Alligator mississippiensis: one gene and its partner. The protein of the gene in region 2 purifies or fractionates together with the protein of the main gene of each other region. This does not show direct contact. Links are inferred from orthologs where the notes say so. Each region holds a gene or a part of one and is shown on either strand. Other genes may lie near its edges.

The links.
Region 1: the proteins of NAPA (region 2) and SNAP23 purify together in Homo sapiens (affinity purification with mass spectrometry; 4 studies listed by BioGRID and IntAct, with this or other methods). This does not show direct contact. The link is inferred for Alligator mississippiensis from reciprocal best matches to the Homo sapiens genes NAPA and SNAP23.

Annotation. Positions count from the first base shown.
Region 1 is NC_081825.1:237,544,047-237,551,512, forward strand, and holds the start of SNAP23 (synaptosomal-associated protein 23), read right to left. Parts: upstream 3,018-7,466; 5' UTR 2,929-3,017; intron 2,724-2,928; exon of another isoform or gene 2,633-2,723; intron 2,386-2,632; exon of another isoform or gene 2,258-2,385; intron 1-2,257. UniProt on the Homo sapiens protein: Essential component of the high affinity receptor for the general membrane fusion machinery and an important regulator of transport vesicle docking and fusion.
Region 2 is NC_081838.1:1,791,523-1,798,771, reverse strand, and holds the start of NAPA (alpha-soluble NSF attachment protein), read right to left. Parts: upstream 3,015-7,249; 5' UTR 2,925-3,014; coding exon 2,827-2,924; intron 1-2,826. UniProt on the Homo sapiens protein: Required for vesicular transport between the endoplasmic reticulum and the Golgi apparatus. Together with GNA12 promotes CDH5 localization to plasma membrane.

The sequences.
Region 1 (7,466 bases), on a different chromosome or scaffold from region 2:
TGCCCATGCCTCCCACACAACCTGCCCTGCCCCACACACAGGGGCCTGGCGCTTGGCCATCAATGTTTACAAATGGTTTCTGGTACAAAAAAGGTTGAGAACCACTAGTCTAAACAATACCTCCTGATGGGTGTGCCTACAGGTATGACTGACAGATGCAGCCTGTGTTTATAGAGAAGGGTTCCCATTAGAAAATAAGGACAGCAAATAGAAAACCAACATGATCTAATTGCTCCAGTCACAGAGTGGAAGCCAGGGCCTCCCAAAGGGTAAAACTCAGCAAGTTTTTATGGCCTCAGGTGTGCCATAACTACCCATGTCTCAGTTTCCCTTCCGGCAAAGTAAAGAACCCTTCCTCAAAGAAATGCACAATGAATCAGCAAATTGATGTCTGGACAGATCTGAAGTTAAAAATGCCAAGTATTACTACAAGTTCAATCACCTATTTTCAACTGACAACAGAGGGCCTAGGCCTTGGTCCTTCATGACCAGTACACATGAGCAGGAGGCTCAACTCCTGCATGAACTGAAGTTAGAAGAATTCTGCTTTTGTTAGAAAAAAAAACCTCAGTCCTCTGCTCATATCCATATGGGTAATACGAGGTGTTAAAATCCCTTCCCCCATGCCAGCTACTGTCCCTTATCTAAACAGACAGGACAGCTGAGACAACACAAAAAAACCACACACACTACTCTGCACCCTCCCAGGCTTCACTTATTCATTTCCTGAACACACTGCACAGAGTAGAGAGCTTGAAGAATAGGCACTGGTAATGCCATCTCTTCCGGGTAACACGTTAATGTGCTCAGCTTCACATGTGTCCAGTCAAGGTTTGCTGCTGGGAAAGCCAATAACTTGCGTCAAGAGTCCTCTCCCAGTTGGCTGGTATCCAATCATTACACAAGGATTTTACACACGTTGCTAGCTGCTGTTGCTGCCTCAAAACGCACTAGTGAAGACCATCGCTCATGGTGCTCAAGTTTAGAAACAAGAGCTCCATTAAGAATGTCTTTGCGCCACTTGCCAGCCCCTGTTGAAGAACACCTCAGGCCAAAGAGCTGCCTCAGCAGCAGGCAGCCCTAGGGCAGGCCCTCTCCCTTGGTCCTGATAAGCCTTCCTAAGGAGCTGCTTGGTCCTCAAAAGCAGCGTTTATCAACCTATGAGTCATGACCCAAAAGTCAGTCACAAGAATATATGAAAGGGTCACCAACAAGTTCTAAAATTGGATTGTCCTTTAAAGGAAAGACACATGGGAAACGGTGGCTTTTCCCTTGCAGGCTGGCAGAGCTCCAGCTTGTGGGGCATGGAGGGCTCCCAGGCAGCCCTTTACACCTCCCATTGTGCCCCACATACAGAGCCATCCCTTGGGTAGGGCGAATCAGGGCAACCGCCCTGACCCCCATGCTTTGGGGGGCTCTGTAGAGCTGGGCAGAGCAACCACACGTCTCCCGTAGGGCCTGCCTGGAGCTGGTGGCTCAGCCCCCTGCCGCAGAAGAAGCATCTGGCCACTACCCACCAACCCCCAACCCTCCCTGCAGACTCCTCCTCTGCTGAAAAGCGGCTTGTCCCAGGCGCTCTGGATTTGCTTGGCCCCAGCGCCAAGTTTAATTGCTATGGCACTGCTGTGCCCTACCTTTGCAGGGGTCCAACAGCCCCGCACAGGCTGATTTGCCCCGGGGCCCGCATCCCCCTAGGGTTGGCTGTGCCCACACATGGAGATGGAGGCAGGGGGGTGGGAGTGAGGGGCACCAGCCATTGGCATTTAAAAAAAAAGAAGTTGGGAACTGCTGCTCAAGAGCGCAGAGAGAAACACTGGCCCGAGCAGGCTTGGGATCCCTGGTATCACGTCCCCTGGAGCCTGCTCCCGAAGGCAACACCAGAGAGGTTACAGACCCGAGGGGACCCGGCAGCCCCTCTCCTGTGGCGGCGGAGGAGCAGGTGTGGGCGCAGCAGCGCTCCCACCACGGCGGAGGCACAGGAGGCCGCTCGGCTTCTCCAGTACACGGGACGGGGGGCGCGCCGCAGGGGCCAGCAGCCCGCACGGGCCCCGGGACGGCTCGACCCGTTCACAGCCCGCGCAAAAGCACCGCAGCAGGGGCCGGCGGAACCGCAACCGACCCCCGCCCAAGCCCAGAGGCTGTTGCTCGCCCGAGGCAGCGTGACCCGCCACCTCCGCGCCTCCTCCCCCCGGCGGAGCAGGCGGGAAGGCAAACCCCGGTCCCGGTCCCGGCTCCACCGACAACAGGCACCTCTCACCTACCGCTGCCGCCCTCGAGGCTGGGCCGTAAGTGAAAGTACCGCCACTGCCACCGCTTTAACAGCCCATCGCTCGCCGCACCGAGTCGCAGACCGCCGCTGCCGGAAGCGGAAACCCCGCCCACTCGGAGGAGCCGCACTCAACATGGTGGGCAGGGAGGGGCACCATCCTGGGCGGGGCCTATCGCGGCAGGCGGAACCGCCCCAAAGCCACACCCGATATAGCGCCCAGCCCTCTGTACTTGCGCTCTAGCTACTCGATTTGCTGTTTTGCCTGGTCTGTAACGAGCGGCTCTACGCTGCATCAGGACGTTTTTCTGGAAGGCTTTTCTGTGTGTCCCAGGGATCCCTGGCCCAACTTTCTTCAGCCCCTACCTCCCTGGCAGGCTGTGAGGAGCGCGTGACCCGGGAGACCACCAGTCAGTCGCTTTCGGGAGCGCCCTTCAGCTGTGCGCGGCTCCTGCGGTCCTCGAGCCCCTCCCAATGCTCCCCAGAGTAAGGCGCCAGTGTCCCCATGCAGCCGGCTGCCCGCAGGCGGGGATGATCTTGTGGCGCTTCCCAGGCCCAGCACAAGGAGAACCTGATCGGAGCTGAACGGCGTGAGTTCCCACCCCGAGAAGAGCTCGGCCATTCGTGCTATGAGGATGCGCCCCCGGTTGCTCCTGCAATACCTCTTGTTTCCCTCCCTCCCCTTTCGCGCAGGATCGTTGCACGTGGCACAGCTCAAGAAGTCCCGCCCGGAGCTGCCCTGGGCGCGTTGTCCCGGAGACCCGCTTGCTGGCGGTAACGCCCTGTGGGCGGGTCACCTCTGCCTCCCGGCCGTCCCCGATCGAGTACGCAGCCTGTCGCCGGGACTACAATTCCTAGCGGGCGCTGGGGTATCCCGGCAGGCAGAGCGCCGCCGCCGCGGCCGATTGGCTGAGCGAATGGGGGCCTTTCCTCGCGCCGCGCCGCGGTTCCCTTTTGGGTCGGCGCCGCCACCGCGCGGCGGGGAGACGCCGGTTGGGGACCGCGCCGGGTGATGGCGGCCTGGGCCGCCGCTCTGCTGTGGGACGAGGAGGACGCGGCCTGTGAGTCTGGCGGGAATGGGGCCAGGGCTGTGGGCGCGGGGTCCGGCTGGGCTCCGTCCTGGGGAAAGCGGGGGTTTTGGCTTCGCGGGGCGCCTGCCCCAGCGCCCCCTGAGGAAGCTTCGTACCCGGCGGCCCTCCCTGCCTGCTGTGCGGGCGGCTAGGGAGGAGATCCCCACACATGCCTCGCCTCGCTTTTTCTGTAAGGCAGGGGTGGTCCCTGTGGCACAGGGGCACGGGCAGCGCGTGTGTGGCACGCGGGTCGCTGGGGGACCACGGGCCACACCGCACCCGGTGTGCGGGGGTGGAGCCGCGAGCCAGGCAGGGAACACAGGATGGGGAGAGCAGAAGGCAGAGCAGTGGGTTGGGCATAGGAGGGGATTGGAGCAGCACTTGGGAAAGATGCAGGACTTATTTGTGGTATGCCTGCCAGAAAGTTGACCATCACTGGTCTAAGCCATCACAGCTACAGCTGTACTTTGTCACACCAACATCTTAACCTAAAAAAGCACATGCCACAGAAAACAAGAATGAGACCTGCTCTGTTGATGCAAAGGTTAGTTAAATAGCAATGTTACATGCAGCAAGCACTTCCTCATGCTTTCTGGAGAAGGTGTAAAGTAAGTTTGCAGATTGCAAGGTGCGGATGTGTTCTGAGGAGCGTATCAAAGGAAATGAGCATGGAGGAATAGTATGTTATGTTGGGAAAGTGTTTCTGGGGTTATTCTTGGACCTCCCTTACTAGTCAAGTCTGTTATTTCTCCATTCATTACTTTATGTAGGGAGAAATTGGCTGCAACAGATGAGATGGTAACTTATTCTCCATAGCCTATTTGCTGATTAGCCTTTGGTACTGGTAAGAAGTGTGAAAGACAACAGCTTTAGCATCATCTCTTCCCCCTCCATATGTACGGTATTGTTAAATCAATGGTCTGTCCTGAAGCTTCCAGAATACTGTTTAACTTCATAGTTCCCATTTTGCTTGTGAAGCAATATGTGCGTAGGAGGTGCCATCAACCTGTACCTTGATTTATGCAATATTTAGAATAATAGAATAATATTTAGCATTTCTTGTGTTTAAGCTGTTTACAAATATAAATTCTTCCAACATTCCTACAGAGTAGGTAAATAGACTTAAACTGAGTCAGTTCTTGCTGGCCTTATTTTTTTTATTAAAAGTTTGTCTCTACAGGATTGGGACTTGGGGATTGGGGCATATTTGAATTAATTAAGATTCCTTTAATCATTAAGTGGTTGCATGTTTCTGCAATGGATTTGCCACTAGGGGGTGATACAGACTTTTTTTTCTTGCTTGCCTGTTGCCTTGCTTAGGACTAGTTATTGAAAGCAATAGAAGAAAACATAGACTACAAAAAAGTATGTTTTATTTAAAACATTACAGGTGGCATGTGTATTTTTGCTCATATACAAGATCATGCTGAATTACATAACTATTTGTAGCTACAGGTGATGAGATTTTTTTTTTCTTTTATCCTTTCAAACTGGTGCTGAAAAGCCTACTACCATAGATAAGAGTCTGTTTTCAGATAAAATGGAAGAGACACCAGATAGCTATCATGTGCATCATTAGGCTAATATCATCATTTACCTTTCTGTTCTTTTCTTGGTATTGAAAAGTTACTGTGCCCCATCTATACTAGTAATTAAAATATTCTTCAGTCTAGCTAAGAGAAAATCAGAGGCTTGTTTTTGAAAACATAAGAAGCTGGGACCTTTATTAAAGCAGGAAACCACTGCAGAGATAACAGGTATGAGAAGTTGGCTAGCTGTTGTCCTCACAAGGTGAGGAGAAAATAGTCCCTTTAGGCCCCAATTCATTAGGGTGCTTCTGAATGTACTTAACTTTTATTTGAATGCAGGACAAGGTGGTACCTTATAGATTTACTTGTTCATAGAGTTTTTGTTGGCTACAACATCCTTGTCAGATACTATGAATGGACTTGCATGCTGTCTACCTTGCAGCGGAATCAAAAAAACCTGCTCCTTAAAGTGGAGTGGCGCATGTGGTGGCAGCATGTGCCCCCCAAAACCAGATCTTGGCCTTCTGGAACCATTCTCTGGCTGCCAGCCAGGTTCCCAGCTGCAGGAGCACCACAGCTGTGACTCCTCAAGGGCCGCAAGTAAGGCTGCTGGAATCCTCCCCTACCCTACCTGACATAACCTGCCGCAAGCCAGAGGGCACATAGCATAGGTTTATCTCAGGCAGCACAAGGTGTGCTGCTGCTTCTTGTCCTCAGGCAAACAAATGTCCACCCAGTGAGCAGGGGTGTGCGGGCCGGGAGCGGTCCGAGATTCTCGGGGGTGCGCGGCGCGGGCTGTGGCCAGCAGCCCTGGCACGCGGGTTGGGGAGTGCAGGCCGGCAGACTAGAATTAGGCACGGACGCTTAGCGGTTGATTAAAGATTATTTTACTTACACCAAAGATGGTCGTGGTGCAGGCAGGAAAACTTGCTTGAGTTGCAGTTACAGACAGAAAAGAAGAAAAGCGGACGAGAGTTCCTTCCACGCGAACCTCTAGCCCAATCCGGTTGAAGGCTCTAAACACGCAAGCCCATCGTGTCAACCGAAGAAAACAACTCGGAGAAAGAGCTCTGGATACACTCACACGAAGTTTGCTAGGCTCCGTGGAACTTGCGCGCAGGGAAGGGGTTCGTTGAGGGATCGTTCGGCGACGGGGAGAGGCCAGAGGTTGATCAGACCCCTATAGCCTTCTCAAGGTATACGCTGGGTCCGATAGGCTCCGCAGCGTTTAGAGATCTTCACGAGACATGAAGTTCTCCTTCTCCTGATAGTTGTGGAGTCCTCCAACTTGGGCGGAAACCGCTCAAGCCGCTTATACGGCTAGCAAGCCAATCACTAGCCGTCACGTGGGAATAATTTAGAACTGGCCAATAGTGGGACACAAATTTGCATGCGGGTGGCAGGAACTCCTTTGCACCGTGCATTTCTCTTTGCAACTAAGAAATGCACCCTGCAAAGAAAGCTCCTCGTGGTGGGAAATAATTTAGCAGTGCCGAAGCGCACACAAACAAAATCACACCCTTGGGTTGTGACAAGGGGTACCAAATAGAAAGGAAGAAAGTCATTTAAATACAAGAGATAAGGAAAGGGGAGCAGAGAAGAGAACACTGCTGAGTGAGGGAAAAGTGGATTGAAGAGGGTTGAAACGGTTAAACAAAGCTTTTAACCCACTGAGGGACGTAGGGGTTATATAAAGATAGTCTAGATCATGGGATAAGAATTTAGAGTCTATATTAAGCTATGCATAACACAGTCCAGCTTGTGGATGATTTCTTGTTCTTCAGTTTAAATGTTTGAGCTTGCTGGTGTAGATGCATATAAGCTATAGCATGTACTGCATCATGTGTGGCTTATTGACCAAAGGTAATAGAAAAAATGATGTGGTTTTTTTTTTTCTTTGACAGGGCTGAGATGGAACCTGTAGATGCAGTACATCTCCATATTACTAAAGCCTTTGACATTGTCCCACATTGCATTCCCATAAGCAAACTAGGGAAGTGTGGTCTAGATCAACATGACTTGTCAAACATGACTTGCAGCCTGGATTTGGCATGCCAGACCATTCTATCTGGTAACCTGTCATGCTACCACAAGTTGGGAGGTGTGCCCTGTTACAGAATTCATAGTCCCTGAACCCTGATGGACATGGCATCAGTGGCAGGTCCTGGCCCTTTGCCATCTTCCAAATATGGATCCTTTGTAATTGTTGCTGGTCATGCAGATACAGCCTGAGGAGCCCCTGCAATCTGGGTCCAGCCTGCAGCCTGAAGTGAATTTGTCACCCTTGGTCTAGGCAAAATTGCCATAAAGATTGGGCAAAAGAAATCTCGTGAGGTTCAACAAGGACAAGTGCCAAAGTCCTGCACTTAGAATGGAAGAATCCCACACACTGCTACAGGCTTGGGACCAAATGGCTAAATAGCAGCTTTGCAAAAAAGGACCTGGTGGTTACAGTGGACAGTACGCTGGATATGAGTCAACAGTGTGCCCTTGTTGCCAAAAAGGCTAACAGAATACTGGGCTACATTAATGAGGCAAACACAGATCATCCAGATGTGGCCTCATCACTGCCAAACAGAGGGGAAAAATCACTTTCCTCAA
Region 2 (7,249 bases):
TTATTTAGGATGCTCGCTAAAAGCAGCACTAGGGAAACCGGCGTCGATAAAAACACCTTCAAGGTGGTTTTTAAAAGGGGAACATCGTTTAAAGCATCCAAGAGAAAGCAGCGCAAATTCACAGGGCTCTGCACTGACAAATGCCTTGGGGGTGGGGGGTTTTCCCCCGCTTCTCTTTCAACTCAAGAGTAATTAAAGAACCTTCCTGGTCCCACCACCAAAATCTCAGCTGCAGCTGCTGCGTGCTTGTCATTTGCTGTCTCTTCTGCAATCTGCTGCTGCTCTTATGCTTTGGGGGGGGGAGCACGTTTGGCAAGAGAAGAGCTCCAGGGAGCTGTCTTGCTGGCTGCGTCTAGACGCTATGAACAAGATCGGGGTTTGCAGACCTAGCGGTTACAGTCGGATGCGAGAGGAACTGGCCTGCTGAGCTGCCTTCCTGCTTGCCACAGGTACAGACCCTGGGAAGGCAGAGGAAGAACAGTCTCTTCTGGGGAGCGCGGCTCCCCTTTTCCCATCGGCAGTCACCTCCTCCCTCTCCTGCCCAAGACGCCAGCCCCAGCCTCCCCCTGGTCGCTCCTCCCAAAGCTTTTCACGTGTGCTGGGCGACCTGAGCGCAGGGGGCCTGGACCCGATGATCTCGAGAGGTCCCTTCCAGCCCCTAACTTCGACGAGTCTACGTCAGCTCCCCAGTCCCGCTTGGCATCAAGGGGCTCCAGTGAAAAACATCACGATCCTCAAGGGACAAAGCCACCGCAATGAGGAATAAGAAACGCTAAAACCTTGGCTGAGAGGTGATACCTTTTATTAGACTGACCAGAAAAGAGCCAAAAATTACCCTTCTTGGCCAGCTTTTGGGCTTGCAAAGACAGGTAATTTCTTTGCAAGGGGAAATTCAAGACGGTAACAGGTAATTTCTTGAGGGGAAATGAAAGATGGTCAAAGTCCCTTAAGGTAGAAAATAAACTTCATTTTGCACAAAGGAAGCTGAAGGTGGATGGATGTCTGTAGTTTATTTTCTACCCAAGGGGACTTTGACCATCTTTCAATCCCCCTCAGCCCAAAGAAGGCTGCATGTGCCCAACAGCTGGCAAACGAAGGTCACTTTCTGGCTCTTTTCCAGTCAGTCTAATGAAAGGTATCGCCTCCGAACCATGAGTTTTAGCATTTTGTGTTCCTTGTTGTACAGCCATGTTGGTCTGAGATAACAGATCCCTCGTCACTGCAACTGCACGCACTCCCCTCGCCCTCCGGCAAGGCCGCTGCCCTTCCACCCAGCGGCTGAGACAGGACTAAATCCACCGGCCCGCCAGCTTTCCCCTCCCCCTGGGGAGAACCGCATGACTTAGCCATGGAGGTTGTTTACTATCTCTGGTCTCCCCACCGCCACCGCCACCGCCGCGCACGTCGGCTTCCCCCTTCGGGCCGGGGAAACGACGGGGGGGCGTTTGCTACGGGACAGCTCGCGCCCGTGACTGCGTCAGGCCTGTCGGGAGCGGAGGTATTTCTGCAGTGATAAATCTCGCCGTCAGTCCTCGCCGTTCATCTCCTCTTTCCGTCCTAGTCATCACCCCCCCACGCGCCTCGATGAATATCAGCTCCCCGCTATCTGCGAGCAATCACACGGCCCTGCCCAGCGCACGCTGTGCCGAGCGGCGTCTCCCCGACCCTGCCCCCCAAATCCAACCTCCCCCACCCACCGCCTCGGACCTCCCTGTGGAAGCGCAGGCCCCAGACCCGAAGGCAGCGCCGCCACCCTGGGGCCCTGCCGAGTCGGCCTCACGTTTGCACACGTTTGCACTCGCTGCCCGAGCTCGGGGCTGATCTGCGGCCGCGCCACGGTCTCCCTCGGCCGGAGCCGGTCTCCCATTTAGCAGGCAGGCGCCCAACTGGCTGCCCGCACCCCGGGGGTTTGCTGCCAGCCATCGTTACCCCGAGTCTCGAGCTCCGCGGGGGCCACAAAACGTTTGCTCTAATAGCAACGAGGCCAGGCCCCCGCACGCGCTGCAGCTAAAGCTTCCTCTTTGGGCCAGTCCTGCCCTCCTCGCTCGGGGGCGGGGGGGGGGTCTCAGCCCCTCCAGGCCCCCCCAGCTGAGCCGAGCGCTGTGACACCGTGCCCCCCCTGCCAGGCTGGGGAGGGAGCTGGTCACCCCAAGGCAAGGTCAGAGGCTGCAGGTGGAGGGGGGGGGGGTCTGTCCCCTGCCCCCCCCCACGAGGCTGCATGGAGCAATGCCCCTCCCCCCCCACAACACACCCAGCTTCCCAGCCTGCCCCCGAGCAATCCCCGGACCCAGTCCCTGCACCCCCCCAGCCCCCTGCGACCCCCCCCTTGCCACCCTCCCAGCTTGAGCCCCCCCATCCCCACAACACCCCCCCACCAGGCCTGGGCCTCTGGGACCCCCCCACGAAGATCCCAGACCTCCAGCTAGGCCCCACCCCCTTTTCTACTAGGCCCCTCCCCCACATCATGTCTCAAGCTGCCCCCCCCCATCTTCCTCACCCCAAAGACAGCCCCCCCCACCGCAGGTCTAGGGCTGGGCCCGAGTGCCCCCAATGCCCCCCCCAAACTTAAGCCCCGCCCCTCCGTCTAAACACCGCCCCCCCAGCATCTCCTCAGCCCCCCCATTTTACCCCCCAAAACCTGCTAAACCTGCTAGGTCCCCCCCAGCCCCCCTGCAACTAAGCCCCACCCCCAAACCCAGCCCCCCCATCTCACCACCCCACCCCCACTGCATACCCCTCAGCCCCCCTATTTGGCCCCCCTAGGCCACACCCTCCGCCGCTAGGCCCCGCCCCTCGCGCTAGGCCCCACCCCCCGCCCGCACTCACCCGAAGAGCCCCGCGAAGAAGGACTGGGAGCCGCGGACCTTCTTGTCGGCCTCGGCCAGCAGCTGCAGCGCCTCCTTCTCCTTCCCGGCCGGGTCCATGATGGCGGCGGCGCGGGAGCGGGATCGGGCCGGGCCGCGACACTCAACGCCGGCGAGAGGGGGCGGGGCCGTGCACGTCACTACCCGGAAGGGGCGGGACGAACTCTGCGGAAGAGGGAGGGAAGAGGGGTTGTGTCACGTGACCAAGCAGGGAAAGGGGCGGGAGTGATGCGAGGCGTCACGTGATGGGAGCACGCTGTATTGCCGGCACGTGGTCGGGGAAACCCCGCCCCCTCCTCCCTCACGTGACGCGGAAGTGAGTCGGCGCGTCTGGAGACAGTCACGTGATGTCCACGGGGGGGGGGGCGTGCAAGGCTATAGGCGCTCGGGGGCGGGGAATAGATATAAAGTATACTTTTTAAAACAAATGTATACTTTATTATAATTTTTAAACATGGTTTATCAAGTCCTATATTTCGTCTTATATTTTTATAACATCTCAATTCGACATTTTAAAAGTTTTTTTATATTTTTATTTTGTACTTTTATTTTTACTGTTATCTATATAGAGTAAAAATAAAAAATAACAAAATAAAATATATCTAGATACTGTCTCTAGATATATTTAGATACAATATAGATATATTGTATATCTATATATAGATACATATCAATATATCTGTATCTATCCATATGTATCTATATCTAGATAGCTAGATATCTGCATAGAGATAGATATCTATATGGACAGATAGTTATAGATATAGCCCTGTATCTATATAGGTTTAGATAAAGTATGGCAGTACTGCCAAGGAGGCCCCAACAGCAGCTCCTATAGGGCGGATGCCCCTCTATCCAGCAGGGGAGCCTTAGGTACCTATAGAGTAAAAGCCCCTAGAAGGGTCCCTATATGGGGCAGAGCTGGGGGAGAAGTCCCGAGGCTCCTATGGAACGAAGGCCCCGTGCGGTAGGGGGGTCCCTGAGCCCCTGCCTGGAAAAGCCCCTCTATAGGTCCCTCTACGTGGCAGGGTTGAGGAGGGACTCAGGCTCCTATGGAACTACACCCCTACACCGCGAGGGTATCCTTGGGCTCCTGTCTGGGAAAGCCCCCATAGGGGTTCCTATATGGGGCACGGTGGGGGGGGGATCCTTAGGCTCCTATGGAACTAAGCCCCTACCCACCGAGGCTCCTGTCTGGAAAAGCCCCTATAAAGGCCCCTATATGAGGCAGGAGCGAAGAGGGAATCCTTAGCGTCTGCTGGAACTAAACACCTGTACAGTATGGGTATCCTTGGGCTCCTCTCTGGAAAAGCCCCTATAGGGGGTCCCTATACAGGGCAGGGTTGGCTTCGGCTCCTACCCTTATACAGCAAGGCTCCTATCCAGAACAGCTGCTATACAGGGCCGTATGCAAGGGGAGAGGACGTTCGGCTTCTAGGCAAGGAAGTCCCTATAGGGGCTTCCCCTATAAGAGCAAATACCCTCAAGGCACCAAACCCCTATGGACAGCCCTGGCAGCTTGCAAATTCCAATGTTAAATTGCCTTCGTTAGGACTAACGGGGGTTACGTGCAGACATGATAAGGCAGCATCCGTTGCTTTTCCCGAACAGCAGCCCCCGGAAAACAGCGCCGGCTCACGTCCGCGCCCAATTAGCGTATGACAACACCCTCGCCACCGGCATGTGCACAAGCGCGTGACACGGCCTAAAGGAGGGGCCGGGTCGTTCTGCAGTTGGGCCACGCGTGGGCTCGTCCCCTCCAAGGGCAATTAAAGCGTGGAATGAGGACGTCCAGCGGTCTTCTAACAAGATTGCAGACACCTGTATTACGATACGCCTCGGTCGGTTTTCAGCAGGGCCAGGGTGATGGGCGTCTTCCAAGATGGAAACCGTGTGTTATCCAAGAGCGTCCGAGCAGCCGTGAACGGGGTCGGACCCTAGGCGAGTCCTGCCCGGTCTCCTGCGCCCCGTGGCGGCAGACAGCGGAGCTGGAAGGGCGAGCGACTGGCTCTGAGCGTTGGGGTAGATGTGATCTCTTTTATTAGACCAACTACATATAATAATAAATAATTTGGGGGTCGACTCAATGATCTATTGAGGTCCCTTCCGACCCTAACATCTATGAATCTATAAAAGAGATCACATCTCCCCACAACCCTTGCCTGCCTATGTCCTTAGACCAACAACCCCAAAGCATGGGTCTGAGCAGGGCTCTTCCCCCCGTCCCTCTCCCACTTGCGGCCACTTTATGTCACGTGTACAAGCGCCGCTGAAGGTTGAGGATATTCTGCTCTGGAGGCCGTGCCCCACACTCCCGCGCTCCCGCTGACCCTTTCCTCCAAAAACGGGTCCAATCCCTTCATGGATCAGGATGAACTCTCTACTTCCGCTGCACCTGGTAGCCACGAGCTCCCCCCTTTCATTTGTCCTGGGTGGAAAAACCAACTACCTATTCGTTTCCTATTGTGACCCCTCGGTTTTTGCCTGGTAAATAAGCCTGAAGAAGGGTGTTTGTAACCTGAAAGCTTGCAACAAATCATTTTTCCAACTATTTTAACTGGTCTAATAAACAATACTGGATTTCCCCCCCCCCCCCCCAAGAACCTTGTCGGCCTTAGCAGAAGCGCTTCTAACGAATCGGCAACAGCTGCTAAACGGCTGCTGTCGACAATCTCGCACAGGACACGACTGGTGAAAGTCGATAATAAATTCCCATCAACTTTCTCTTTCCCATTTAATATTTTATTGCCTCCCTTCAAGCATCTCTTCTCTAAACTGACCAGGCCTGGCCTCGGCCGTCTCTCCTCCTAGGCAAGCCCCTCTGTAGCACTGACCATCCTTGTTGCCCTTGTCTGGACCTTCTCGAGTTCTTCTCTATCCTTTTGCAGGTGCGGGGACCGGAACTGGGCGCCGTGTTCAAGGTGTGGACGCACCATGGCTTCGTAAAGGGGCGTCATCATGCTTTCATTACCATCCTGCATCTCCATAGATACTTCCGCTATCAGGTTTAGCATGATCCTGCTTTCCCTGGTGCTTCCCGCTCCCTTCCGGGGACACTTCTGAGCTGCCTAGGGGACCGACCTGCGTGTGGTCCCCGACCATTAAGGGTGGGGTAGGCGGGCACTTGCTGGCAGGCGACCACGGTCTGGGGCAAGTTGTCCCACATGGCCTGACTGGCTTCCGCATCAAACCCATGCTTCCAGAGGCACTTCCATGCTGCCCGGGGGACCGACCTGCATGTAGTCCCCGACCTGAGGAGGGGGGTAGGCAGACACTTGGCAGTAGCAGACCCCGGTCTGCAGCCGGTTCTCCCACCTGTCCCTGGCGTCAAACCCACAAGGCATTTTGATATGGGCTGGGGCAGTGGTAGCACTGCCACTGGAGGCTTCGCATCCTCTGCAGAGAAGGGGCTGCTCGGTAACAAGACAAGTCCTCTCTAGCCTTTTGCAAACGACCATTCTTCCTGAGTTAAAATACTTCTGCTGCCACAGTAGATTTTTCACTCAGTAGATCATAAAAACACAGACAAGGAGGGCTGGAAGGGACCTCCGGAGGTCACATCTAGTCCAACCTCCTGCTCAAAGCGGAACCAGCCCCAACTACATCATCCTGCACAAGCCTACCTAGGTCTTAAAAACCTCCAAGTACGGAGACTCCCCCCACCCCTCTGGGTAGCCTGTTCCTGTTACTACTCTCCTTATGAGAAAGTTTTTCCTAATAACCAACCTCAACTTCCCCTTGCTGCAGCTTGCGCCCATTGCTCCTTGTTCAGTCATCCGCCCCCACTAAGAACAGCCCGGCTCCAGATGTCACGGTGCGTGACAGCAGCAGCTTCCCCATTTGAGGGATGTAGAAGCAGTGGCTATAGCTAGATGCAGCTACTAAGGGAACCTAAGAAATCCTGACTTCTACACACCGAGCTGCTGCAAACTCCACCGCTAGATATTTCAACCCGAGTTGCATATTCCCTATGTTTGTTAGTGAGGGTCAAATCCCCGGCTTCACGGAGGCGTAGCTTTAAAGGTCAATTTTGTCACCTCTCTACTAACATGAGTCGAGCCTGTTCCAGTGCTTTACTATCCCCTCCTCGTGAGAAAGTTTTTCTTAACATCCAACCTCAACTTCCCTTGCTGCAACGCGACACCATTGCTCCTTGTCCTGTCGCCACTGCGAACAGTCCAGCTCCAGTCAAGAGGATTTTATCTTTTTATTGAGTCCAATCCCATGCGTTTCAACAAAGGATCCAAGACGGTCCGGCTCGGTCTGCAGACTTCAGGAGATGCAGAAGCCACCGCTTCCAATGATGAATCATCTTTACTGTTATAAAAAAACCAAGAGCACGCCCTATTAACCAAGCACCCACAGCCAGAATTTGTCCTTCAGCA